Nothobranchius furzeri: one gene and its partners. The protein of the gene in region 1 interacts with the protein of each later gene in a pairwise test. Links are inferred from orthologs where the notes say so. Each region holds a gene or a part of one and is shown in the gene's direction. Other genes may lie near its edges. The genes, in order: ube2wb, amfra, xiap, marchf5l, rnf111, rnf26 and pstpip1a.

Region 1 (3,500 bases):
GATTAAAGTCCCATAGTTGTCACTAGGGCTGCACAATATATCGTAAATATATTGTTATCGCGATATCAGCTTGCACAATATGCATATCACAAAGAACAGATAAATATCGCAATGAATGATCAGCTCAAATGTTTGCTACACATAATGCATTCTGTCAATCAAATGGAAGCCTGATGTTTTTTTTAACAAATCAAATAGAGCTCTTCACCCATTTGGCCAAAAGGGTGGGTTCTCATAGATTAGATGCCCGCCCCTGAGGCGGACAGTACTTAATTTTGATGGTTAGCAAACACATGAGTTAGCTTTGTTCTGCTCTTTTTGCTGATTCTGCTTTTCCTGGGATCCACTGATTACCTTTTCTTGTTCATTATCTTTTTCCCTTTCCTCACATCTTTTGCTTTTCTCGTTTTTTTTTTTCTTCTTTGTTTTTGATTATTTTTGTTCATGAGATAAGTTTTTATTTATTGCAAGTAATATTGTTATCGCAATTTAATCATTGTTATCGAATATAGCCGGTTTTCCTAATATCGTGCAGCCCTAGTTGTCACACACACTTGTGTGGGGAGGCGCGGTGTGCTGCAGACACGGCTGCGCTCGGGAACTATTTCGTAGTTTAACCCCCCAATCCAACCCTTTAAAGCTGTGTCAAGCATTGGGTCCCATTTTTAAAGGCCAAGTAAAAATGCCTTTGTTACCAAGACGAGACCAAGCACATATAATATTAATATCAGATAAGGAGAAACAGCCAGCTGCTACCACTTCAACTTAAGGACAAACTACCAGAGTCCCAAAAAGAAAAAACACCATTTGAAGTCACAGACACCAAAGATGTTTAGGCATAGAAAAATGTGATTGTTGATTTGTGCTCTCCCATTTACTCTGGCAATGCGCATTCCCGTATTGGGGGGCGTGGCCTAGCCGACGGAGGTATGAGAGTCTTTTGACTGTGTTTATATGGAATGGCCAACTTGCTGTGCTGATTTGGTAAAGCAGCTTCAATACCAATGGTTCAGAAAATATGATTACCACCCCTGTAACGTTTATATTCGACAGTAAACATTTGGGTAACCTGTGTTCTTTATTGGGGCACCGGGGGAATGTTTTAGTCATCATTGTCCTTTTTTGTTTTTAGGTGGATTGTAGATATGGAGGGAGCGCCCGGTACACTCTATGAAGGAGAGAAATTTCAGCTGCTATTCAAATTTAGTAGTCGATATCCTTTTGATTCACCTCAGGTAAGAGCAAAGGGTGTGTGTGTGTGTGTGTGTGTGTGTGTGTGTGTGTGTGTGTGTGTGTGTGTGTGTGTGTGTGTGTGTGTGTGTGTGTGTGTTCGCATATTTAAATGGGTCCTACAATTCAACAACCACTTTTACCTTGTTGTTGAATAGAGGCAACTTGAGATGTCTATGTAGCGTACCAAAAAGTCTGCAACTTGTAAATTAGTAAAGTTGTAATGGTCACGGAGAAACGGTTCATCCTGACAAAAACTGGTTTAACGCGTCATAAGCATAGACGCACCTCCCTACATTAGCATGCTCCAACCCACTTCAACATCCGCAATGAATAAACTTTGATCTCAGTAATGCTAACTGCAGAAAAATGCTAGCCCGAGCTACTGCTAATGTTCTTATAAACAAAGGGAAAACACATGTAACGTTCCAGGATGTACAGGGTATATCCAAACTTATAATGAATGCCAGATAGATCTGTAGCTTTCTATTGAATAATATGGATATTGTACACTGCTGTACAGAGATTCTAGCTTGAGCAGTGTCATTGAGCCATTAAACCAGCCAATCAGCATGCAGCTCATTTAATATTCATTATCAGAGCTCCTAGGGCATTGTGGACCCCAACAAAGTGTCATGTGCTTTATATGGCGCTTGCACACTAGCGTCGTAACGGTCGGGGTTTGGTCGGGCAGGATGGCGTGAGTTTGGGCTGGTATGGTCGGTGTAGTGTTTACATATTAATCCGAGGAACTTCTCAAGATGCGGAAATCCCCAAGCCTGTGGGGGGCGCTTAATACGCGCGGGAAAGTCCGTTCCATAAGGTACCAAAAGGCGGACATGAGCTGTGTTGCTTTTGGAGACTCTGAACCACATTATTTTATTAATTTACTCTGTGTCCCCTCATAATCTTGTGCCGCCCACCCCCTGATTTCTCCCCTGAGCAGCTGTCTGCTTGCGAGGGGCAAGAGCTCCGATGCGGAGAATGGGAGCATGCATGCACACACACACACTCAAACAAAGCTATTCTTTTCTCCCGCTCCCACACTTAATAGCAGCTCCGGATCGGCAGCTCCGTGCAACAGACAGAAGTTAACTCAACAGCATCCAGCATGAAAATGAACCGCACATGCAGGAACCCCCGGCTGGCTGATTCTTCTCGCAGATCGGAGGCGGTAGGCGTAATTTCAGCCGGCCAGTCAGTCCGTAGTGTCGCCTCGGTCCCAGTCTGACCGCTGGGGAGAAGGTCTGGGAAAAAGTCGCCTCGGCACTGAAAACGCTAATCGGACCGGTGTGTGAAACCAAATTCCGGTGCCGTTCGGTACCTTATGGGCCCGTACCTACGCTAATGTGTAAGCGCCAATAGAGGCTCAAAGAAAAGCTGTTGTAGATCCACGTTTGTGGATCTTTATCCATACCATACCATACCAAGTTTATTTATAAAGCACATTTAAAAACAGCATGACAGCTGACCAAAGTGCTGTACAGTAGTAGTAAAAGGAAAACCCCAAGATAAAAACAAGATAAATATCATAAAAGAGATAAAAGGGATAACCTAAAAATGTAAAAGAAACATACTAGAGTAAAAACAAAGTCACAATAAAAACAATGCTAAAAGGTTAGCACATTTCAACAGGGAAGATTCTATAACAATAAAAGCTTGGTCATTGATCAAAAGCTAAATAGTAGAAGTAGTCCTTCAGTACAGACTTGAATCAACCCAGTTCTGGGGCCTGTCGAACACTAAGGGTGAGAGCATTCCAAAGTTTAGGAGCAGCGAACACAAAGGCCCGCTCCCCACGAGATTTATACTTCATTTTTGGGATGTACAAAAGTAAATGATCTGCTGATCTCAGGGTTCTGGGTGGAACATGAGGCATGAGCAGTTCTGACAGATGAGCAGAGGCTTGACCATTCAGGATGTTGTAAACTAAGGTTAAGACCTTAAACTGGATACGATATTTAACCGGCAGCTAGTGCAAGCGTGCAAGGACAGGTGAAATGTGACAGCGTCAAGAGGTGTTTGTCAGGAATCTAGCCGCTGCATTCTGCACTCTCTGAAGCCTTATCCAGCCTAGTTGAAAGGGTCACTCATTTCTTACACTGTCTTAGCTTCAGTTTTCTTTTATGATGTTTTGACAGTAATGTTTGAATTCAGCATCACTAGATGATCCGATATTGGCACCTATCTGTTAAGAGTTCTGCAGCGGGGGCACTAAAGCCCAGAGGACCACTTTTCTAAACTTAAGTGGAAAAACTTTTGTGTCTACC
Region 2 (4,184 bases), on another chromosome or scaffold:
CCCATCAAGACTCACTCTCATTTCATCAGTCCATAAAACTTAGAACAATCAGTCTGGAGATATTTCTTGGCCCAGTCTTGACGTTTCAGCTTGTGTGTCTTGTTCAGTGGTGGTCGTCTTTCAGCCTTTCTTACCTTGGCCATGTCTCTGAGTTTCGCACACCTTGTGCTTTTGGGCACTCCAGTGATGTTGCAGCTCTGAAATATGGCCAAACTGGTGGCAAGTGTCATCTTGGCAGCTGCACGCTTGACTTTTCTCAGTTCACGGGCAGTTATTTTGCGCCTTGGTTTGTCCACACGCTTCTTGCGACCCTGTTGACTATTTAGAATGAAACGCTTGATTGTTCGATGATCACGCTTCAGAAGCATTGCAATTTTAAGACTGCTGCATCCCTCTGCAAGATATCTCACCATTTTTTACTTTTCTGAGCCTGCCAAGTCCTTCTTTTGACCCATTTTGCCAAAGGAAAGGAAGTAGCCTAATAATTACGCACACCTGATATAGGGTGTTGATATCATTAGACCACACCCCTTCTCATTACAGAGATGCACATCACCTAATATGCTAAATTGGTATTAGGCTTTCGGGCCTATACAGCTTGGAGTAAGACAACATGCATGAAGAGGATGATGTGGACAAAATACTCATTTGCCTAATAATTCAGCACTCCCTGTAAATTCGCGTCTGTGCTGCTATAATGTCATGAACTAGAACCTCTGAGGAATATTTCCACCTTGATGAACCTATGGCAAGAAGAATAAAGGCCCTTCGAAGGCAAAATAGAGACCAACCTGGTACAAGCAAGGCGCTTCTATAAAATGGGCAGTGGGTTTGTATTAGTTCAAGTCAGTTGTTTTTAATCACCTCCATGATACAGTTTCAGCATAGACAGAAGTGAAATATATTTCTCCACATATCATTTTGCTTGAATTAAAAATTAAAATAGCAATGAAATTAATAAAAATTCAATAACAGCAAGCATGGATTAGCCTAGAAGTCTAGACAGAGTGTAGCCGAAGCAAAACGATGTTGCACTGCATCTCTGCATATATATTCACATAAATAGGGCTTGCCAGGAAACTTTTTTGATTTTGCAGAAATGCAGAGTCTCAACATTAGTTTTTTCCTTTTAAACCAGCTGACATAAAAAAAAACTTAATGCAAAATAAATGATTAACCATAAACTGTCTTAAACACTAAGTGAAGATTCCGTACCTATTTCAATTTTCCTCGAGAAAAAAACCACAGCAGTTAAAACATTACGATATGTTGCAAATTGTAGCGGTGAATGAATGAATGAATGAATGAATGAATGACGGAGCTGGTAAGGTCGGGTTATTTTCCATTACTGTGACTTTAAATTTGTCCCGATGACGTCATATCTCGGCTAGTTGCCTGCTAACTGTCGGTGAGATAAACAACAACAATGTTGACGACTGCTGTGTTTTTCGTGTAGAACCCGTAAAGTCCAGCCCAGCTCAGAGCACACCACCCTGGATCTCGTGTTTACCTTTGTGGCTATCTGTAAGTGGCAACCCAACACAGGCCTATTAGGAGTTTATCAACAACGCGTAAGTACGTAGCTAACGTCAGCTAGCTTGAAAGCTAGCATTAGGCAACACTAGGGAAATAACTTAACACTTTTGGGCGTGAAATACTATTGTTTATTTTTTATTCTCCTTTGATACTGTTTGCAATTTCAGCCACCCAGTTATACATTTTATTACATTATTTTTAATTAAGCTGCGGTTTTACTTCACTAGCAATGGGATTGTCGATCCTCATCTGGAGGTTAGCCTAGCCATTTTCTCATTTTAGCCTTTCTTTTAGTTTTAAAAAGGTAAAGATAGTATAACACCCTCGAAATGGCCGCTTGTTGCATGTGTTTATCCCTAATTAAGTAACTGCGATCGCCAGCACAAGGGTGATTATATAGTGCTCACACCTTGCTCATTAAAGTTTGGCTAACCTTTGCTAACTCCCTCCCAGGCAGGTGGTGGAGTGACATAGTTTTTACAAGTCAGGAAGTGGACCGCAAGCACTGCAATGCCTCTGCTGTTTATGGAGAGGTTTCCATGGCCCAGCTTGCAGACCTACACAGCCCTGAGTGTGGCTTTGCTGGCTGGAAGCATCTTCAGTGCCTACACTACTGTCACTGACCCGGGCTTTGGGGCCTTGGAGACCGAGGATACACCAGCTCCATCCGAATTTAACCTTGAACATCATCTAAGTAGTGCAGTTAGCAACACAGACTTGGCAAGAACTGTCCTGTGGTATCTTGTTACTGACAGTCTCTTTGTATGGGTGAGCATCCTTCCCATTACGAGTTTTCACAGGTGATATAATATTCCTCATGCAATAAACTAATAATCATGCCACTCTCCACATTCTTGCAGGTCTTGGTCAACACATTCTGCTGTTCTTTAATGTTAATTGCTAAAATGATCCAGTATGTGGTGTTTGGGCCACTCAGAGTCATTGAAAAGCAGGTGAATCTGTTTGTTTTGCTCAAATATCTGGAATAAATATATTTTCTAAAATGTACAACTTACTTAGTGCTTATTGTCAGAAAAAAGCATCTTATTTTGCTTTTTATTTTTCTCCCAGCATCTCAAGGATAAATTCTGGAATTTCATCTTTTACAAGTTCATTTTCATATTTGGAGTATTGAACGTGCAAACTGTGGAGGAGGTGGTCATGTGGTGCTTGTGGTTCTCTGCCCTCGTTTTTCTACATCTCATGGTACAGCTCTGCAAAGATCGTTTTGAATATGTAAGTATGTTTTATCACACCATCTCTTTTCACTGCATCCACCTCCCCATACATGTTTCAGGGTCATCAAGGGCTGAATTATACAGGTTTGCAAGTTATTAGCTCCAATTGAGAATTAAGTAAAACTGGTTAATTTGAGAATACCAACATTTTGGTTGCATGGGACTGCATTGTTTTTGTATGTTTCAGTGGTTTTCAATCATTTACACACCACCACATGCAGCTTGTTATCACTTTAAATGTATAGAAAATTAAAAATCAAAAATCTAAATGTGTTTTTAAATATTTTCTAGCAGAAGGAGTTCAGTCTATTCAATAAAATACCTAAATACCGCAATTTAAAACCTTCTCCTTTGTTTTGCACACAGGATATGTCTTGTTTCATTAAGATTTAAATTGTAAAAAAGTAAAAATACATGATTTTTGAGTAAATCCAACTAACAAACCTCTTTGCACCCTGAAAGTCCTTCAGAAGTCTGAGTGCAGATGTACTTATTCCAGCTCCAGCTCTATAAATAGCTCCATATTCTGACATGTTTGCCTGCTGGTAGAGTTTCAGTTGCTACATTAACACTCTCCTGTCTCACAAGATGAGAAAAACAAAATATCAAATTGAATTACCATCATGCAAGCTGTGACATTTAAGAAAAACTCCTAAACATAATGTAGCTATAATGTAACAGTGACTAGTTATTTTTTTCTACCTGTTTTGTGTAAATATTTTATATTACACACACTTTCTCTTCATATAAAACAATGAGATGGTCTTTGTCTTTATAAACTCAAGCACGTCGGTTATGTTCAACCCAGCTGTTTTCCTGTTTCCATCCGTCTGCAGGTTTGTGCCTTTGGGGGTATATGGCACATTCAGCAGCTCTAGATAAAAGATTTGGCGTGTGTTTTGGGTAATTTGGTGAGATTGTGTGGTACATATGACACCCATGTCATGTCTTGTAGCTCAGCTGTTGTAATTATCATAAGTAGTTCCTAAATAATTTATTTTGTGGGCTGTACATGATATTAGGGGAAACCTTTGAAGGATTATTATTATATTTGAGTTTTTGGATCGTATGCATGTCGTACAACTTGCTTTTCTTACTTTTAGCAACTGAACCACCTTTAGTTTTCTCCTGTTTTTAATAGGACAGTTAACTGCTTTGAACCTAGAGTTGAAAGTTGTCCCCAACTCTGTGGAAAAAAACATTGTTTTTTCTTGTACAGTTGAACACCAGAGGTGTTCAGAAGGGTGTGCAGACTTTCCCCCACATGTGCTGTTTACACACATATGTCACAGTGGGAGGTTTTCTGCTGGAGGGATGCGTTTACAGCATGAAGCACGAAGGAGGAGGTGCAGCAAAGTGTCATTTGTCAGGAGTGCAAAGGACATTGGTGTATGTCACCCTGGAATGTTT
Region 3 (4,159 bases), on another chromosome or scaffold:
GTTAAGCACACATGGTTTAAGTTTCAGCACCACCAATGTTAACATTATCTATGTTTTAAGAACCTCTTTAAAACCACTAACAAGCATAAACAATAAGGAAAATAATCTTCTAAACAATCCTATTATATTATTATATTATTATAATCCAATTTAGAACTCAAATGAAAAAGGCATAAGTGCAGAACTTGAGTAACCCTTTCCAATCAAGCATGATTTATTGTCTTTGGGCTAGTTTTTGAGCAACAGGCGTTCTGAATTTAAGCATTAGATGTTGGCATGCCTGACAATGAAAAATGTTCTTTCCACACAACTCTGACCTGTAAGGTCCAAACCTAAAGACAAAACATGCCATTTTCACACAGATTACCCCTTTTCAAAGCAGCCGTATGCAAACCAACTCTAAAATCAGCTGGTTCACACCTGTCGGAAAAAGTGGACTGATCATACCTAACATCATAATAATGATGATTCAACAAAAACCTGACTGGAGTGGGTTTTAGAATACCAAGTGATCGTTTATGAAGTTATTGTTATACCACAGGTAGTTTCTGAGTAAAGTTACAGCTAAGCTAAACTTGATGAGGCACATTCAAACTATGCTGTTTATGTTTTCTTAGAAAATATGTATCTGTGAAGATGATCATAACATAACAGAGATAGAAAATGTATCTTCTCCATTCTAAATTATAAGAATACCTGTGAACCCCCACCCCCTAAAAAAATCCCTAACGATTTACTGGAAATGCATGGGGCAGACCAATGCTCGTGTTTTATTTGACTACTACGGCAACTTTTAGTTTGAATCAAAAAGTTGACATGCATAATCACCAATATGGAAAATTATCTCAGGTTGATATATGACTGTTAAAGAGTATAGTTATTTTATGTATCCCATTAGCTTTCACTGGCATTTATTTCTGTTGGTGACAGATGCAGGTTGTATTATCAGTCCCTACCCTGTGCCTTGAGTTTCTCTGCTCCAACACCAGGTCCATCGGTTGAATCACCTCTTCAGCAGCTCTGTAACCTTTCAATTACTTGCTGATACAATCAGGTGAGAGAGCAGATAAACCTCAGATAAACATGGAGGCCCTCAAAACAAGAGATGACCGCCACTGTCCTAACAATCCTGATTAAAAATGGTCACTAATATTGTAGGTATAAGATTATGACCTTCAGACATTGTTTGAGGTGCATGATGGGATTACATTAAAATTTTAAATGAACGCTTTTTGCTGGTTACTGACCATATTTAGGCAACCCTAAAGTATGTTGGCAGTTGATAGTAGACGGCATGTTTCTGTGAAACACCCACGTGGGCGTACTTTGATCATGTGACTGAAGAGGCGGGGCCAAATGTTCTAGGTTCCCAGATTCCTCCCTTTGCTTTCGCTTCCTCATAGTTTTTATAAAACAAACTGAGCTCTTTAATCATCCTATTCTGCTCCAGGTCAAGTTCACACTAAAGACAGACTAAAGTTACAAGCTGAAGACCGGAACCAAAAGGGGCGCGTGAAGGTAAATACCGTAGTTTTCCGGCTACGGTCGATTTAGGCAACTGCGCAAATTAGCAAACAAGCTAACGAAGCTAGCTAACTGACACTTTAGCAAACTGTCAAAACCCAAAGTCACTATCTCGACATTACGCACCTACATCAAAGCAGCTGATGTGTTTATTTTTAGAATGCAGGCTTATTGAAATGCGTGTCCTTGAATAATATAGGCTAGTTTTTAGCTTTTGGTAACTCGAGCATCCACGTTTAAGCAAGGGTCACCAGCATAGAGAGCTACTTCATGTGTACTGAGCCACATTAAGGGCTACCAGGATTCTACAGTTCTGACATTTGAACTGGAATAGATCAGAGTTAAACCAAACTTCATTTATAATAAATATATTTTATTTATTTGGAAGGATTTGTAGTTTTAAAATCAATATTGATGCATTTGTAATTAAAAAAGAAGGCTGCAGATTTGTATTTCGTTTTAGATATTTGCCATTTAAAGAAGTGGCTTTATATTATGCCAGGAGGCACCATGGTGCAGTATCGTAAATTGTGCATGTTTGTCATACGGTTAAACACACATTAAGTTGTGACACACTCGTGATCATGGTGACTACTTTTTTTTTTTATAAAGATTGCCAACAACAGTGCAAAGATCAAAAGCTGATCCTCATCAATAAAGCATCTCAGATAAAATCATACTAGATGTTACAGTTTTAGGACTAAGCCTCCACCATGTAGTGGGCTTTCTGAGTATTTGGGTTGTGAGAACACATTTTCCATGTGCCAGTGTAGAGGTGGCAAAACTATTCCCCCCATCCTGCTTTCTTAGCTGGCGTGCTTTGATCTTGGGTCATTAGCCCGTGTACAGCATGTACTGTGACTCCTTATTACAGCAAATACTTTATCAGTGTTTGTCACTGTTGTGTATAATCTATTTAGGAATGCTGCTTTAGTGTAGATTGTATCAGGTTACGCCCTTTGCACCGCCTTTCCTGTTCCCATGCCTCACACAGAGTATCCAGCACCAGCATGTGATTATAGCCTGGCTGCCTCTCCCAAAGGCTTAGCCTGGATGCTCAAACCAGCTCCCTGTTGTTTTAATTCAAGTACATTTAGGACTTTTGACTAACCTTCAAATCTGCTTGTCTTTCTCCTCAGACTTCATACATTCAGTAGCTGTATCTATCCAGGAAGGTCCTAGTTCAATTATGTGTGATAATGAAGAAAATGAGCATCTGGAATCAGATGGTGCTATGGATTTTTCATTGCTCAACAATCGCCTGAACTCCTTCCGCCGCTCCATCCTGGCTGAGCAAGTTCCAGCTGAACGACTGGCACGAGCAGGCTTCTACTTCACCGGCAACGCAGACCGCGTCCGCTGTTTCAGCTGCAAGAAGACTGTGGAGAACTGGACCAGCGATGACACGCCTGTGGAGCGGCACAAGGAGGTAGATCATGGATTCAAAGTGTTGAACGATTGTGACTTTTTGTTCTGCTTTAGAGGTTTAAATAATGATCTCTCTTCCTGGTACAGGTTTCTCCAACGTGCTTGTTTCTCAAATGCTGCCACCGAACCAGTTTCAACCCGAGCTTTCATAACCCGCTCACTAATGGCTACAACGAGGCTGCAGAACACATGGAGTATCGTTTGTTAACTGGAGCCGTGACTGACGACACCATGTACCCTAAAGCCCCTCAGATGGCGTCTGAGGAAGCCCGCCTTCAGACCTTTTCCTCGTGGCCCGTTGATTCTCTTATGAGACCCAGAGACCTGGCACAAGCTGGTTTCTTTTATTTGATGAATGCTGACCGAGTGCGGTGTTTCTGTTGTGGTGGCGAGCTGAGTGACTGGGAACCAGAAGACAATGCTTGGAGTGAACATTCCAAACATTATCCAAACTGCTTCTTCATACTTGGGCATGATGTGGGGAATGTGCCGCTTCAGGAGAGCAGTTCTCAGGTCTCCATGGAGAGTTTTGAGGGGAGACTTGGCAGCTTTGCTGGTCTCCAGCTCCCTGTTGACCACAAGAGTCTCGCCACGGCGGGCTTCTACAGCTTAGGTACAGCGCCATCGTCATCTGTGGACAAAACTCATACAAAAATGAGTCACTGTTATATCGTTGTTCTGATTTTGTTTTGACACATCTGATTTGTGCTTACAGGAATGGGAGATAGGGTGATGTGTTTCAGTTGTGGTGGGAGTTTGAAAGGTTGGCAGCCTGGGGAAGACCCCTGGGAACAACACGCCAAATACTACCCAGGGTTAGAGGAAACATCTGTCTTTTCTTGGCAATAAAAATTCATTATGGAGACATTTTTATTTATGCTGCTGTAACTTTCTTCCCCATTAGATGCAGCTTCTTGTTGGCAGAAAAAGGAGTAGAATTTGTCAACAGCATCCAACTAAATGGACCCAAACAAAGTAGAGCTGTAAGCAATCTCCTTCTTTTTTTCTTGCTATTGTGATTATATGACAAACCATAGCTTGTAACTTTACCTGTCAATCTGATTCCCAAGTCCCTTTATTTATAAAAAATAAACAATGAAAAGGTTTGAATCAGCTGGAATTGTGTTTTAAATCATTTTACTTGTATTTGGTGTGTTTTAGTGAACTTTATGGAACATAAGGAACCAAATGTACTTCTCTTTAGGTC
Region 4 (4,232 bases), on another chromosome or scaffold:
GATTTTAAAAATCAGCAAGTTTTCCTCTCATGCGTCCTTCACTGGAGCTTTGTCAAACTAAAGTTCCAGCATCAAGTACAACCTGCAATGAAATTTAACCCTGAACCGCCCCGTAGACTGCAACATTCAAACAAGTAAAAGCAAAATTTAAATTAAGAAAGTTAACACATTTAGAATATATAGAGAAAAGATGATGGATGCAGAAGTGTTAATTAAAAGAGACATAACAGAAAGCTAAATAAAACGTTTAGAAAATGAGTAAGTGTGTGTAGAGGGGCATGGGGATCATATAACATGATTATCTGCATGTGAAGTGAAGGGGTGAGAGTCGACAAAGTGACGTGCTGGTATTAACCATAATAAGTGTGATGCAGCATGTGAAGTAACCAGCTCTAGATTTAGTTTTACATAACTGAATGAACCCTCTCCAGTAGTAGCACCCACTTTTGCCAGGAGCTACAGCTGTTAATGTTTTGTGAGCTGAGCAGCTAGCCGGCCAAAACCTCTACCTCTGCTTTAGGTCCGATGAAAAGATCTCCCTCCAGCGCCCCAGCCATCACACGCACATGTTTAGGACGTCCCACACTGAACACAAATATTCAAACAATCAAAAGTTACAACAAAAACAACACAAACCCATATTTTAAATAAATTCTTTTGATGGAGTCACTTAATAAATGCTATATGTTGCAGGTTTCCCAAATAAAAGGTGTTATCTAATATAGCATATGTTCCCATTAAAGATCTGGGAGGAGGAGATGTGCTGGAGGCTGTTTAAGGATGCTTACTAGTTAGGAAAGCAGTATTTTGGGATCTGGTCACCTGCAAAACCAGCCTTGATGACTCCCGAACCCTGCAGAGTAAACAGAAGCGACATTAGAGCACATCTTCATGAACTGAGCATTATGCTTCAGAAAGCCATGAGACTCAGCCTGAAGCTACAGTAGACACACACTCAGCCTGCTGCAACACTGGATTCACAAGCCTCTGATCTTACCATTTACTGTATTTTCTGTTGCTGTTGTTATTGACCAGTCCAGCTTTAACCTCAAGAAGCTAAACCAATCTGAAGTGAAATAAAGCAGATCGGTTTCTCCAACACTAGACTTGACAAGGACTAAAAGTTTGTCCAGCAACGTGGTAACAGTGTGGAAACACTACATACTTCCTGAACCCTGCTACATTAAAAACAAGAGAATTGCACTTAGATATGAAAGCATTAATAAAATGATGTTCAACACGAAGTTAAACTATTGTTCTGCCACCCTAAATGATAACAATGATATAGGTTCTGAATTCTGATCAGCATGGATTACTGAAAACGGTCAGCTGTACAAAACGGAACCAAAGCACAATTCTATATTTGCAGACATCAAGGAACTGCTCGACAGGACATTTAGGGCTTTGTCAACACTGAGAATTTCGAAAGAACCCTCCGAGTTTCAGGTACAAACTAAGAGATGCAACAAAACAAACAAGAGGTGAGTTATTTATTCCCTTCGTGCTGCACGATGAATACTTCTGTATTTTCGTGGAGGTGAACCCCACGAATGATTCTGATGATAGCGACAGACAGCTAACGATTCAACCCATTAGCTTTAGCTCTCGCTCGCTTTGGGTACATTACCGTGCACTACTTGTACTAGTTATATTTCTAGGACAATAATGGAAATTCTTAATGCACATGCTGTAGGGGCAATGCACTTGGCCGAGCACAATGCAGGCTATCACCAGGAACACAATAGCCAAGCTAACGGATAGCAGCTAGCGGCCTCGGTTTGGGTGTGGGTGAATGACATCATCATACTTACATTATCAATCACAACCGGCTGGTTAGCTAAAATGTCATAGGACTCCATTACGAACAGAGTATTTAAAACGTCTTTCTATTGATCTGCAAGCTTCTCCCTCTCCGCTTAGTGTTTTAATCATGTAAAAGATAACGCCCTGTCACCGAGCACTGTGAGGTGTCGACGCCGCCGCGCTGTCTGTGTGCTGCTGGCTCGGCACCGCCCTCTTTCCAAAACAACCACAACAATCATTGCGTCTTACTTGATTGACAAGTACAACGGTCAATGGAATTGAAGATTACTTTTCACTGACGGGTAACGTAACCAATCATAATGTCTGAGTGTGCCACGTGAGAGCTTTGTCAATTGGAACAAATTTAAGGAATCCGTGCTCTGTTTACTGCTAATGTATGTACAGTAAAGACCACAGTTTCACAAAGTTATTCTATAGATAGATAGATAGATAGATAGATAGATAGATAGATAGATAGATAGATAGATAGATAGATAGATAGATAGATAGATAGATAGATAGATAGATAAAGTCAGTGATGTGGAAGTCCATGTCAAGTCTAAGTCCTTAACTTGAATTTTCAAGTCATATTCAAGTCATCTGTCCAACTTCAATTTAATGACAATGAAAATAAATAAATTCCAGAAATAAAGCTTCTTAAAACTTCATTTATTTGATCCAACAAGCAGAACGTGACACTGAAATTGATCGTCGTCGTCGTCGTCTTCCTCTGCTTATCCGGGTCCGGGTCGCGGGGGCAGCATCCCAATTAGGGAGCTCCAGGCCGTCCTCTCCCCGGCCTTGTCCACCAGCTCCTCTGGCAGGACCCCAAGGCGTTCCAGGACCAGATTGGAGATGTAACCTCTCCAACGTGTCCTGGGTCGACCCGGGGGCCTTCTGCCGGCAGGACATGCCCGAAACACCTCCCCGGGGAGGCGTCCAGGAGGCATCCTGACCAGATGCCCAAACCACCTCAACTGGCTCCTTTCGATCCGGAGGAGCAGCGGTTCTACTCCGAGTCCCTCCCGAATGTCCGAGCTCCTCACCCTATCTCTAAGGCTGAGCCCGGCCACTCTACGGAGGAAACTCATTTCAGCCGCTTGTATCCGCGATCTCGTTCTTTCGGTCATTACCCAAAGCTCATGACCATAGGTGAGGATTGGGACGTAGATCGACCGGTAAATCGAGAGCCTGGCTTTCTGGCTCAGCTCCCTCTTCCCCACGACAGATCGGCTCAGCGTCCGCATCACTGCAGACGCCGAACCAATCCGCCTGTCGATCTCCCGATCCCTCCTACCCTCACTCGTGAACAAGACCCCGAGATACTTAAACTCCTCCACTTGAGGTAGGACCTCTCCCCCGACCCGGAGGTGGCAAGCCACCCTTTTCCGGTCGAGAACCATGGTCTCAGATTTGGAGGTGCTGATCCTCATCCCAGCCGCTTCACATTCGGCCGCGAACCTACCCAGCAAGAGCTGAAGGTCAGAGCTGGATGAAGCTAGGAGGACCACATCATCCGCAAAAAGCAGAGACGAGATTCTCCTGCCACCAAACTCGACACACTCTACACCACGGCTGCGTCTAGAAATTCTGTCCATAAAAGTGATGAACAGAACCGGTGACAAAGGGCAGCCCTGGCGGAGTCCAACCCTCACTGGGAACAGGTCCGACTTACTACCGGCTATGCGGACCAAACTCACGCTCCTCTGGTAAAGGGACTGAATGGCCCTTAACAGAAAGCCACCCACCCCATACTCCTGGAGCGTCCCCCACAGGGTGCCCCTGGGGACACGGTCATAAGCCTTCTCCAAATCCACAAAGCACATGTGGATTGGTTGGGCAAACTCCCATGCCCCCTCCATCACCCTTGCAAGGGTATAGAGCTGGTCCACAGTTCCACGGCCAGGACGAAAACCACATTGCTCCTCCTCTATCTGAGATTCAACTATCGATCTGACCCTCCTCTCCAGTACCTTGGCGTAGACCTTTCCAGGGAGGCTGAGGAGTGTGATCCCCCTATAGTTGGAACACACCCTCAGGTCACCCTTCTTAAAGATGGGGACCACCACCCCGGTCTGCCACTCCCTAGGAACTGCCCCCGATGACCACGCAATGTTGTAGAGACGTGTCAACCATGACAGCCCTACAACATCCATAGCCTTGAGATACCCAGGACGAACCTCATCCGCCCCCGGGGCTCCGCCGCTGTGTAGTTGTTTGACTACCTCAGCAACTTCTGCCCCCAAGATCGGACAGTCCATCCCCAGGCCTCCCAGCTCTGGTTCCTCCTCGGAATGCGCATTGGTGGGATTGAGGAGCTCCTCAAAGTATTCCTTCCACCGTCCGACTATAGCCTCAGTTGACGTCAGCAGCTCCCCATCCCCACTGTAAACAGTGTGAGCGAGTTGCTGCCTTCCTCTCCTGAGGCG
Region 5 (2,876 bases), on another chromosome or scaffold:
TTTTTTGTAAGTATAAGACCAATAAATAAGCTACTTTATCATAACACGTCACAGAAAAGTGTTATTTAGACTTTTGAATATATATTTGAAGGTGTGGTCCACTGAAAAAAAACATTATTTAATAATTATTTCTGATTATAATCAGTGTCTCTGAGTTTTTCATGCTAGCTGACCATGAAAATAGTCTCCTACACCAATGTCCCGTATCAGCTTCTGATATGAAAATAGATGGTGAAACTCTGGGATTTGAAAATCCTGACAGATATGTCAAACTGTCACTTAACATTCATGGACTCACCCATCTTGACTCAAGACGGGGAATGCTGTTGTTGGTTTAGCGTCCATGAAACAGCAGAGAACATCTCAGCTAGTAGAAGCTAGCCATTAGCATTAGCAACTCAACCACACGGCAGAACTCCACCAGGCTTGTGTTGTTTGTGGAGATAAAACATCGGCGTTGCAGAGCAAAATAGTCAGTGGTAGAGCCATGTTTCTGTTAGCCAATCAGAGGTGAGATGTCCAAATATCAGCAAATAAGACTCCAGATCCTGTCGTGTTAAGCTCTCCTCTTATGTGGCATTCGTCTAGTTGCTGCAACAAGCGCATCTGAGACCCCCCCCCCCCCCCCAATATCCAGGCATAGATTCCCACTATAGATCACTGCAAATGTATTGATTTGAAAGGTGTCCCACACCTTTAATGTGATATTTTCTACATTTACAATGTTTTGGTGCTAAAAGTACAAACTCACCTTACTAGAGGCAAAAGCATACAAATGATTATTAGTTATGCATAACTTGCAGCAATTGTTGGCCTGTGATAATTCTAGTATAACTGATTGACGTTATTAAATTAATAGCTCCCCTTGAGTTGGTAAAAGTCTGCAGGTGTAGAGTAACAGTGTGCACGTTTTTGTGTGTGGTTTCCATCAGGACCTGCTGCATTTAGAAGAAAGACTGGGGACTGTGAACCGAGGAGCCTCTCAGGGAACCATAGAGAGGTGCACCTACCCACACAAGTACAAAAAGGTAAGCACTGATCAGCGTCTGCACGTCTAGATTGTTGAACATGTTGGATGTAGTTGTGCATGTCTGTTGCAGCTTATTCTGGGACAGAGCGCTCACTGGTCTTTTGTGCTCCTTTAGAACATCTAATGTTAGAGAAATCCTTTAGTGTTTTTTTTTTTACCAGAGGCTGCAGCTGTGTAGAAAATTGTTGGGGGAGGGGGTTTCCTTCGAGGTTTTCAAATGTATCTAAGCAATCAATCTAACACCCTGCCACCCAATACAGAAGGTGTTGGAGAGAGACATTGACCAACAGTTAACCCCTGAAGCTTGGGCTCCTATTGGGAAAAATATGCACGCAACCCCAGAATCGGTGAGAAAAAAACCCAAACAAATCAATTTGGACACATGTCTCTGCTCATGTACGTTAGATGTTAGTGTTATTTCTGGGGGCTGGGAAATTCGGCTTGTGTGTATGACTTAAATGACTTTGATTTGTTTAGATGACAAAAGCAAGTTTATATTTTTTTATTTTTATGATTTTTATTTCACGACAAAACGACCATTCTCTCTGTTCCCAAATTTTAAGTTTGTTTTGTTGAAGTGTTTGTTGTAAACATAGTTACTTCTTTTGGGGATAATGTGATTTATTTTTAAATCTGTCATACTTTTAATTCTAATTGTTTACCTGAGTAGCTGACATGAATTGATGAGATTACTGACCGTCTGGAACGGCTCTGCTGAAGCTGCTCTGTTGATCAGCGCCGCACATCACAAGTCGTGTTTTTAAATGTTTCTCCAAAACAGAGGAAGCTGCACGGGAAGCAGGACGAAGACGAGGGGGCGGATGAAGACACGGAAGAAAAATGCACCATCTGTCTGTCGATACTGGAGGAGGGGGAGGACGTCAGGTAAATGCCTCCCCTCCCGGGCGTTCGCCCTGATCCTGGCTCACAGGCTTTAGCGTGTTAAATGATGCTCTAAAGGGGGCGTGTCTCTGAGCCTCCGAGCACAAGTGGGATGGCAGATGCAGCCGTTCCACTTTGCTAACATCTTATGGGAATTTTTATCTTTTTTCTTATGAAAAGGATAATAAATAAACCCGAAGGAGTTCTCGTAATCAGCAGAAAATCCCAGAGTGGCTCAAAATTACCTTCCTCATGGAGCTGGCACTCACTCAGGTTTATGAAAACAAATTCTGCCCCCTGTTGGCTCAAAGGGTCACCTTGCAAGTGTAAAAGCTGTTTTATGTTCATGCTTTAATAGAAGTGATACTTTATCTGTAATATAAATGACCATTTAGGCAGTTTTTGTTCAAAACAAACTTAAGAATTTATTTTTTGGTAACAAAGATCCAAAGATGATTTATAGGAAGGAAACAAAAGGGGATGTAGTGAAAAGATGTTATTTAAATTAGTAATGCATCAATATTAATATCACTGTTATGTCTGATAACTGATGTTTGCCGATACCGATATACTGACAATAATGCTTCTAAAATCAGCAGATTTTGTATAGAAATAAAATCATTAAAGCTGAATTTACATTATTATGTACTCACCTTACACACATTTATGCTTCTTAGATGATTACAGTCACTGTCACATGACTGAACAAATACACACCACCCCCTCACCCTCTGAAACATACAAACAAATGGAGACAAGATGGAAAAATATTGGTTAATATCAGCCCGGTTTTATTTATCGGACCGATACAGATCTGTTAAAAAATACCTAACATCGGCCGATACCGATATTGATGCCGATATAGTGTGCATCCCTAATTTAAATATTCCTAAAAGGCACTTTCTAAAGAGGGAGTTGTGGAAATTGTGATAAAAACCCACAAGCAGTCGTGAAAAAAAGTATA
Region 6 (4,265 bases), on another chromosome or scaffold:
ACGATCCTCTATCACGCTCCTACCACACAGAGTCACGGTGTCAGTTAACCATGCTAATTCAACCCCTCCACAGAACACACATCACCTTCCCTGTGGCTTACATAACACTCACACAACACAACTACCCCTGACTGCATCCCGGAGATCGGGGCGGGGCTAAATGTGGGCGGGGTCAAACGTTTAGAGGTGGGCGGAGACCGTGTACTGACACGCGATCGTTCATGTCGGTTCATTTCCTTTAATGTTTTCTGTCTTTTATTTGCGCCTGATGTGTTTCGCTGCTGTGGAGCGGGGCGCATCAACACCTCCTCCGACACACAGATCACTGATGCGCCCGGCAAGCAGGGAGCGCTCCGCTGTTTTCGCGGTCGGTAGATCTGCCTCCTGAGCACGGCCACAGTAACAATCAGGTGTCGCCACCTCAAAAACTAATTTAACACGCGATCGTTCATGTCAGTTCATTTCCTTTAATGCTTTCTGTCTTTTATTTGCGCCTGATGTGTTTCGCTGCTGTGGAGCGGGGCGCTGCGCGCATCACCTTGTCCTCCGATGCACTGATCACTTATACGGCCGCCAAACAGCGAGCGCTCCGCTGTTTTTGCGGTCGGTAGATCTTTTAGAACTGCAGTTCAAAGGTAACTCATGAGGTGAATATATATGAACCCAGGTAGCAGTTTCTCTTTAGGATTGAGAGGAGATGCAGGAAGATAATAAACAGACAGGACAGAAAAATAGTCAAATAAAAACAAGTTAGTTTTTGTACCTGCTGTTGCAACATACAGACACCATTGAAGGTAATCAGAAGTGAGGAACAGAAAATGAAATAATTATTTTAATGTTTAGAGCAGCAGGAACTCCGAGAGGCTGCAGGCGCATCAGTGAGTTTGCGGCTGCTGCGCAAGGGGAGGGGGGAGAGGACTGAAGCAGAAACTACCGTTGTTAAAAGAAATGTGTTTAACTTTGAAAATGTGGGTGCACTTTTAATTGTCAAAAACTCCAGCGAACCATTAGTTCATTTTGCTCAAATAGAAATAGAGGCCTGCCTCTAATACTGGCCCTCCTTCCAATAAAGGCCTGGAGCTTGATGAGCTTGAGTCAAATAAAGGCCCGGGCCTGTATTAGAGGATTTACGGTAATTTAACTAGTTTAGTTCTAGCTATTTGCACTGGAGGGCGACTATTCTCCCTTCTCGCTCACACAAGGTCAATATAAAATTGAACTTGTAGCTAGGAGAGTGTGTACAGTAGCATCACACAAACTGGAGCTATATTGAATAACTTTTTTCAGTTGATGCATTAGAGACATAAAAGATGATAGTTGGTGCTGAGATGACAGACATCACTGGAGCAGATGGACCTTCAACAGCAGTCCCAGAAAAGCAACATCCATGTATTTTGATTAGATTCGTTCCCATTATCCCATAATCTCTTTATATGGCATTCATTTGATTAGTTTAAAATCTAAAATTTCAATCCCCATGTGTTATTGTGGTATACAACCAACGTTTTAATCTGTTGATACATCTTTTTAAAAACATATTTTCATGCAGAAAATCACAGAAATTTCAAAACTGAAAAGTGATCATATTTGGCCGCCCTGTTCTAATAAAAAAAAACAGAATAAACAACATGATCTAGTTAAATAAACATCTTCCTCCTCTTCATTATAATCACTGATGGCGAGATTTGTCCTCCGTTTTTGTTAGAAATGTTAGAAAACAGTTAAATATATTCAGTGTTATAATTGCCGTTATTGTTAATATTGTTACCATCCTTACAAAGATTATGTTCAGGGCATATGATCAAATATGGCCCCTCTGATTTGCATGCTAGCACAACTAGTCGGAGGAGGCCTTGAGGTGGTGATGATGTGGCGGTGAACTTTGCCTGCAGTCATTACTAGGCCAGACCCTGCAGCTTTAACTGGTTTTGAGTTTGATGACACATTAGCAAGTTTTTTTAAAGTTCAAGTAAATCCATGAAACCTGTGTATGCATTTTTTATATTGTGTGTAATGGTTTAGTATGTGTTGTAAATAAATACATAATCACACTTATTTTTTTCAATTTTTACATTCATGTTTTGAGCGGTTTTGGATTATTTTGAAAAGTCATCGGAAGGAAGTAACGAGATATCCGCTCACTGACGTGACCAAAACAAATATGGCGTCTTCAGCGAAGATAGTAAACATTGTTATTTTACCCCTTTTTCATTTTTTTCTTAATTCCATCCGTCGATTTTGCTAACTGTGTGTTTTAAGACTGACAATATTTATCTAACCAGGTGTTTCTGGCTTTTATTAGCAAAGAGCGAAAACGAAACACGGAAAACTAACGGAAGTGTCTGCTCTCGTTCGAAACAAAACATCCGCTTCACTTTGAAACGCATGTGTTCCGACGAAACACTGAACAAACATGAACATGTAGTGTATTTCGTGAAACGAATGATGTTTTCCAGCTGCTGCTGAACTTACGTTCTGCTTAAGATGTAACGTATGAGGATATCAGGCGGAAAATCAACAATGAACTTGTGTACAACCTGGGAGGAGCATCGAGAGATAAACAGCTGAAGCTAAAGGACCATGGGTTTGGTGAACTTTGTGGTAACCTCTGTGGGGAAATGCCTGGATGCTCTGTGTTTACTGTTGGACCTGAACTTTCTCCTCGTCCACACCGTGGTGCAGACCCTCCTGGCGGTTGTGGCTTTAATTACCAACCTGCCCACCCTCCTCCTCCACTCCGTGCTGCAGGTGGGGAACTTCATCCTACTGTCCATTGTTCACATAGCAGAGGCCGCATCAAACCTGGCCCACAGCACAGTCACCCTGCTGGGAAGCCTGGTGCTGGCCCTGGAAGGGCTGCTGGAGAGCCTGAAGATGGTGGGTTATCTGTCCATGCACGTGCTGCTACGAGGAAAGGAGCACCTGTATCGGGGTTTGCTGTCAGTGCTGGAGGGCTGTAGCATCGCTGTCAGCCTGGTGGTCTATTTTACCAACACTGTGGTGAACTTTGCACTCATTGCCATGCAGAACTTTTACCTGTCAGTGGTGGGCGTGTGGCAGACGGTGTCCAGCCCGCTGCAAAAGGTTCTGGAAATGACCCTGACCACCCTCACCTTCTTGTACAGCTGCCTGGCTGGTACATCAGCTTTCCTGTGGTCTCCCTGCAAGCTGGTTTTGGATTTTCTGTTTTCCCTTTTGCATATGTTCATCTGCATCTTCATACTGAACATCTATGGCCTCCTGCTCACTATCACCATCGCCCTGATGACCACCGCCTACCTAAACCCAAGACTGACCCATCAGGCAGTTGTGCGCATTGCGGATTACCTGAACTCTTTTGCTTTTCTGCGCAGACTGTATCTAACTCACAGACGGCTCGCTTTAGCCCTGCAGAGAACCTCACATTATCTACGCTACAACATCCGACACCTGCAGATGATGCTCCACCATTTCTTTCTATTGGAGAGAAGATTTTGGCAGCGGCTGTCTCAAAACCGAAGCCGACTGGGTCTGGTTCTGTGGACACAACTCCGCAGGGACAACGGAGACAGAGCAGGAGGTGATGGAGACCCTGGAGAAGAGAGGCGGGGTCCACCAGATGGGAGAGCGGGAGACAGAGCTTATCCAGAGCTGCAGGATTCAATTCTTCCATCATCAAGCTCAGACGAGCCACTTAAGGAGTCTTCAGGCAGCGACAGTAAAAGCTTGCCAGCTGAAAACCTGCTCACTCTACTGAAGGAGCACGAGGAGAGGAAGAAGTGCGTGATCTGTCAGGACTGCACTAAGACGGTGGTGCTGCTGCCCTGCAGACACCTCTGCTTGTGCAGAGACTGTACAAACATCCTCCTCAGGCAGCCGATCTACCAACAGAACTGTCCTCTCTGTCGTCACATGATCCTCGACACTATGGACGTTTATCTGTGAGGGACCAAAATAAACTGATCCATTCATCTGAAGACAACAAGAGCTCCACAACCTTTTTATTATTATTATTTTATTTTATTTTTTTGCCTTCTGGTCAATCTCATGTCAAGCCACTCTGTTGTTTTACGTTTCAGGGATGCTCAGAAGTTTTTATAAATTTTTTTCAAATCTATAGGTTTCTGAATACAGACAAAACTCAAAAAATGTTTTGTTTAACCTTTAGAATCTTTTGACATAAAAAACACACCAAATTTCTTTTATAAAAAATTATTTTGAATGGTCCAAGCTTTTGAGAGCTGCAGATGATAATTAAAGAACAAAAAATACAGTTTCCCTCAAAA
Region 7 (4,126 bases), on another chromosome or scaffold:
GGGCAGTTCTACGAGTCCGATCGCAGAGGGGATGAAACTGTTTTTGTGGAGAGAGGTTCTGGTCCGAATGGTTCGGAGCCTCCTGTCAGATGGGAGCAAGTCAAAAAGACTGTCCAGGGTGAGACGGGTCAGCTGATATCCGACCTGCTCGCCTCAATATCCTAGAGGTGTACAGGTCATGTATGAAGAGGGGTTTACAGCCAATGACCTTCTCAGCAGAGCGTACAACCTGCTGCAGTCTCTTCATATCACTGATGGTGGCTCCAGCGTACTAAAGGCCTCAGATGCTTTAAGAGCAGACTTAACAACTATAATTTAGATCTAAAACGGTTTGATCTTCTGAATTAAGGAACATTTTTTTTACTTTTATACACATCTGCTACAATAACAAAGTGACACATGTTGGCCCAAACAGGTTCTTACACATTATCTCATAAAAACAGCAACCAAAAGTACATTCTGTCTTTATTGTACTTCAGTAAATTAAACTGTGGGAGAGCTGGAAGAAGAAATGATGCATCTAAAGTTAGGCTGTCTATACGGTGCATTCTTTTTGTAACATTTCTGTCTAACCCTCTGCTGTCCACTACAAGTTATTGTTTGGAGGCATCAGTTGCCATATAATAATTTTTCTGTTTTCTTTACTCGTCATTAACAGGCTCTTCACCTCATAAAGGAAATGGACCTTGATGGGGACGAACGGATTTCACTGGCAGAAGTTTTAAAAAACCAAGAGATGTTCATGAACAGTGAAGTGACGGACTATGGCAGACAGCTGCATGTGTCACATGATGAACTATAACCTTGTTTTTCATCTTTTATAGAAACACTGTTTTTAACTAAATCAAAATTTTAGTTTTTTTGACTGATTATGTATTTTGTGCAACTGTGGAAACATAAACTTATATTACAGCAGATGTTTTATGTAACAAGTGACAAAAATGACGTGTCCTAATAATGTAATAATGTGATGTTACAAACAAAAGTGCTTTAAAATGAGTCACCTCCAAATCAACCAACACAAAATGTACAAACTGCTGTTCTTTCCAGTTGAATTGACACATTTGATCGGAAATCCCTGTTTTTGTATCATCCTCTTTGTAAAATAAGGAGGAACTCATTAACAACTTTTAATGATTTATCAAATAAACAATTGATCAAAACACACCTTACTGGGGTTTACTTGAACAGTTTTTAAAAAATGAAGTGAAGTTAGTTTTAATTCTATTTCGGTGCCGGAGTTAGTGTCGTTGCTGTTGTGAGCTCGATTGTGTCACCTCTTCCTGATTTAAATGAAATGACACTGCGAGTGAGAGTTGCTGCATGAGGGTTTGTTTCCTGAGTGTGTCCTGATGTGCTGCAGTTGCATCGAAGCAGACCGCCAAGTGGCACAACAGCGTGACTCGCTAACTGGAAACGTTACCAAACACTACCAAGATGGCTTTACAATTTAAAGACTCGTTTTGGGTGAGTTGGCTGAAATTTGCTGATTCATTTTTAGATTATATTTTATGTTCTAAAAGGAACAATGATCTCTTCTGAACTGTGAACCTCATCACTTAGATGTCAAATTTATTGATGCTTTTTTGTTTTGTTGTATGAGCATTTTGGATCACAAGTCATTTTGAGTCTGGCTTTATGTTTTAGACGTCCTCTGGAGATTTCTGTTAGCTTTTATTGCATGAAAAGTCATTAATCTGTACTGTTACTGTTCTTAATCACTTGATCGTGTCTGATTTTTAGAAGAAAGATGGGTAAAAGTAACAAAGCTTTTTTTATAGTGTAGCATGCTGCGATCCTACCCTTGAGTGTATATTCACATAAAGTCCTTTTTTTAGATAATTTCCTGTTAATCTGGCAACTCTTTGAGATTTTTGTGCTCTTGATTCTCAGACAGTCATCGGTTTTACAGATGTGAGGAGTTTTAACACCTCTGCCACTGCTTTTTCCAACAATGCAACAGTTTCTGTTTTACTAAATATGGCATGCTCCCTACATGAGGAAAGAAGAATAATGCTCACCAGCTAATGATTGATAATCACCGCCTTCAGAGTTTATTATTAAAATTATTCATTAACTGTGTGTTTTAAACTGCAAAGAAAAAGATATACCTCACTTTTTCTGCAGGGAAAAGACTTTATCAGCTGTGATGGTTACGAGGCCATTATTCAGAGACTCAATGATGGTCGGCGGACGTGTAAAGACACGGAGGAGTTGTTGAAAATGAGGTAAGTTGAGTTAGTTGTGTCTGTATTTAGAAACTAATATTTAAAAAGTGTGTGTTTGTTGATGTTTTCATAGAGCTTCAGCAGAGGAGAAATATGGAAAAGAACTGGTTTCAATCGCCCGAAAAGCTGGTGGTCTGGTTGAGATTTGGTGCGTGCCAAAGGGTTCATTCGTGCCCAAATGCTCATAATTTATGGTCTGATGTTATGTTATGTGTTTATGCATCAAGTAGAGTGTGCAGTTATTTTCTTCTTCCTTTCTGCAGCACTTTGAGGACTTCATTTGATGACATGAAAACACGTAATCATACCACATTACCCAGCATGACTTGTTTCTCTGTTCTGTTCTGCTTTTGTATTTAATTTTTTTTAATATATAATGTTTTGTTTTCTTTGCAGAAATGGAAAATGTAGGGAACTTGCACATCCAGCTTTCTGGTCTCCTAAAGGACGAGGTGAAGAGAATGGAGGAATTCAGAGAGAGACAGAAAGAACAGAGAAAAAAGGTGTCGACTCCCCCCTCCTCCCATTTTTGTTGTGGGTAAAAGAACAAGGAAACGCAAAGTAAAGAATTTCTTCTTTCTAACATAAAAGTCTTGTCACCCAGTTTGAAATCAGCATGGAGAAGGCTCAAAAGATGAAGGTTTCTCTCTACAAGAAAACTATTGAGGTAGGGTCTCTTAGTGATTGGTGTTCTATCCTACATCTAAGAATCAGATCCTGTGATTTTTACACCTTACACATACAAGAACATTAAATAGACTCATTTTTTTTTTACTTTTTAAAAACTTCAGTTTATGTTGAGAGGAAGGAGGTGTGTGATATTTTTTTGCAACATGCACCATGTCTTCTTTTTTGACTAAATACCTCTGCTTCCTGTTGAGGGTTCAGAGTGAACTACTAATGAACATAGATTCTTGCGTCAGAGTTTCATTGGGTCTCTGTTTCCTGCATCAACAGTCAAAAAAATCTTATGAGCAACGCTGCAAGGAGGCGGATGAGGCAGAGCAAACGGCTGAACGGCTGGGCAGCGCTCCCACAGCGACTCCCAAACAGATCGAGAAGGTAAACAAGCTGCTTTATTTTCTTTTACAAGATGAAGGGGATTATGTCTCTAGCGTTCAAACTTTTTAGCTGCTTTATTTTTAGCATCAATTGAGCATTTTTTCTAGCACATAAAATAGTTAATAATTTGGGTCAAATTAACTAAAAAGCCAGTCAGTTTGATTCATCAAACTTTGCAGCAGTTAATGATTTGCCAAATTATGTATGATGTGTCAGAATCTGCTCCCCTGCCCCATCATTTGATCTTGTGCTTCCCTGTTTCCCTATTACTCCTGACCTGACTCTGAAATAAAAGAGTTTCTGCTGTCTTGGTGGCCTCTCAGAAGCGTATTCATCTGGATTTGGATCCTCACCTTCCTACATCATGACAATAAGAAATAAAATGGGCAGAAATACATACACACTTAAAGAAACCAAACAACAAATAACATGGTTACACATTGTAACCCCAGATTCTAAGAGTATAGACGCAGCCCTTTAAAGGCCTCATTCAGGAAATTTCTCTGAATTACTCAAATGTGGCCCTTAAAGGAGTAGTATGCCGTTTTGGCTTGCTTTTAGCACCCTCTAGTGTCCGTTAGGTTAAAAAAAGTGAAACTTTATATCATCTTAATCTAACTGCTGAAATGTCTCCTCATCCCGGTTTCACACTGAAAGCATCAGCAGGGCGGAACGGCAGCGGAACGTCACTGCTTCAAATTGAATCCATTATAGGAATGTTTCAAACCAGCAGCGACGCGGCAATTTCCAGGCATGTCCCAGAAGTGGCACGCCGCTTCACTAAAGACGGGCTCGGGTTCTATTTTTGCTGCGTGTCGCTTCTAGAATGCGTCAAT

The links.
Region 2: the proteins of ube2wb (region 1) and amfra interact in a two-hybrid assay, tested with the Homo sapiens proteins (2 studies listed by BioGRID and IntAct). The link is inferred for Nothobranchius furzeri from reciprocal best matches to the Homo sapiens genes UBE2W and AMFR.
Region 3: the proteins of ube2wb (region 1) and xiap interact in a two-hybrid assay, tested with the Homo sapiens proteins (2 studies listed by BioGRID and IntAct). The link is inferred for Nothobranchius furzeri from reciprocal best matches to the Homo sapiens genes UBE2W and XIAP.
Region 4: the proteins of ube2wb (region 1) and marchf5l interact in binary tests that used the Homo sapiens proteins (3 or more experiments, as listed by UniProt). The link is inferred for Nothobranchius furzeri from reciprocal best matches to the Homo sapiens genes UBE2W and MARCHF5.
Region 5: the proteins of ube2wb (region 1) and rnf111 interact in a two-hybrid assay, tested with the Homo sapiens proteins (2 studies listed by BioGRID and IntAct). The link is inferred for Nothobranchius furzeri from reciprocal best matches to the Homo sapiens genes UBE2W and RNF111.
Region 6: the proteins of ube2wb (region 1) and rnf26 interact in a two-hybrid assay, tested with the Homo sapiens proteins (2 studies listed by BioGRID and IntAct). The link is inferred for Nothobranchius furzeri from reciprocal best matches to the Homo sapiens genes UBE2W and RNF26.
Region 7: the proteins of ube2wb (region 1) and pstpip1a interact in binary tests that used the Homo sapiens proteins (3 or more experiments, as listed by UniProt). The two-hybrid records come from large-scale screens. The link is inferred for Nothobranchius furzeri from reciprocal best matches to the Homo sapiens genes UBE2W and PSTPIP1.

What each region holds. Positions count from the first base shown.
Region 1 is NC_091747.1:53,051,291-53,054,790, reverse strand, and holds part of ube2wb (probable ubiquitin-conjugating enzyme E2 W-B), read left to right. Parts: intron 1-1,132; coding exon 1,133-1,235; intron 1,236-3,500. UniProt on the Homo sapiens protein: Accepts ubiquitin from the E1 complex and catalyzes its covalent attachment to other proteins.
Region 2 is NC_091749.1:54,393,156-54,397,339, forward strand, and holds the start of amfra (E3 ubiquitin-protein ligase AMFR), read left to right. Parts: upstream 1-1,384; 5' UTR 1,385-1,524; intron 1,525-1,989; 5' UTR 1,990-2,046; coding exon 2,047-2,304; intron 2,305-2,396; coding exon 2,397-2,489; intron 2,490-2,607; coding exon 2,608-2,772; intron 2,773-4,184. UniProt on the Homo sapiens protein: E3 ubiquitin-protein ligase that mediates the polyubiquitination of lysine and cysteine residues on target proteins, such as CD3D, CYP3A4, CFTR, INSIG1, SOAT2/ACAT2 and APOB for proteasomal degradation.
Region 3 is NC_091741.1:25,549,248-25,553,406, forward strand, and holds the start of xiap (E3 ubiquitin-protein ligase XIAP), read left to right. Parts: upstream 1-1,359; 5' UTR 1,360-1,518; intron 1,519-2,663; 5' UTR 2,664-2,713; coding exon 2,714-2,953; intron 2,954-3,039; coding exon 3,040-3,565; intron 3,566-3,667; coding exon 3,668-3,767; intron 3,768-3,856; coding exon 3,857-3,935; intron 3,936-4,159.
Region 4 is NC_091746.1:37,374,301-37,378,532, forward strand, and holds the start of marchf5l (E3 ubiquitin-protein ligase MARCHF5), read left to right. Parts: upstream 1-1,432; 5' UTR 1,433-1,481; intron 1,482-1,811; coding exon of another isoform or gene 1,812-1,859; exon of another isoform or gene 1,860-1,995; intron 1,996-4,232. Other genes in the region: actr1b (actin related protein 1B), read right to left, coding at 510-585, 789-853, 1,812-1,859. UniProt on the Homo sapiens protein: Mitochondrial E3 ubiquitin-protein ligase that plays a crucial role in the control of mitochondrial morphology by acting as a positive regulator of mitochondrial fission and as an important regulator of immune response.
Region 5 is NC_091749.1:59,508,301-59,511,176, reverse strand, and holds part of rnf111 (E3 ubiquitin-protein ligase Arkadia), read left to right. Parts: intron 1-932; coding exon 933-1,028; intron 1,029-1,290; coding exon 1,291-1,377; intron 1,378-1,811; coding exon 1,812-1,915; intron 1,916-2,876. UniProt on the Homo sapiens protein: E3 ubiquitin-protein ligase. Required for mesoderm patterning during embryonic development. Acts as an enhancer of the transcriptional responses of the SMAD2/SMAD3 effectors, which are activated downstream of BMP.
Region 6 is NC_091753.1:38,315,197-38,319,461, reverse strand, and holds the start of rnf26 (E3 ubiquitin-protein ligase RNF26), read left to right. Parts: upstream 1-1,465; 5' UTR 1,466-2,580; coding exon 2,581-3,924; 3' UTR 3,925-4,265. UniProt on the Homo sapiens protein: E3 ubiquitin-protein ligase that plays a key role in endosome organization by retaining vesicles in the perinuclear cloud.
Region 7 is NC_091744.1:68,453,528-68,457,653, forward strand, and holds the start of pstpip1a (proline-serine-threonine phosphatase-interacting protein 1a), read left to right. Parts: upstream 1-1,326; 5' UTR 1,327-1,437; coding exon 1,438-1,467; intron 1,468-2,127; coding exon 2,128-2,228; intron 2,229-2,301; coding exon 2,302-2,376; intron 2,377-2,491; coding exon 2,492-2,526; intron 2,527-2,624; coding exon 2,625-2,731; intron 2,732-2,832; coding exon 2,833-2,895; intron 2,896-3,185; coding exon 3,186-3,290; intron 3,291-4,126. Other genes in the region: rcn2 (reticulocalbin-2), read left to right, coding at 659-802. UniProt on the Homo sapiens protein: Involved in regulation of the actin cytoskeleton. May regulate WAS actin-bundling activity. Bridges the interaction between ABL1 and PTPN18 leading to ABL1 dephosphorylation.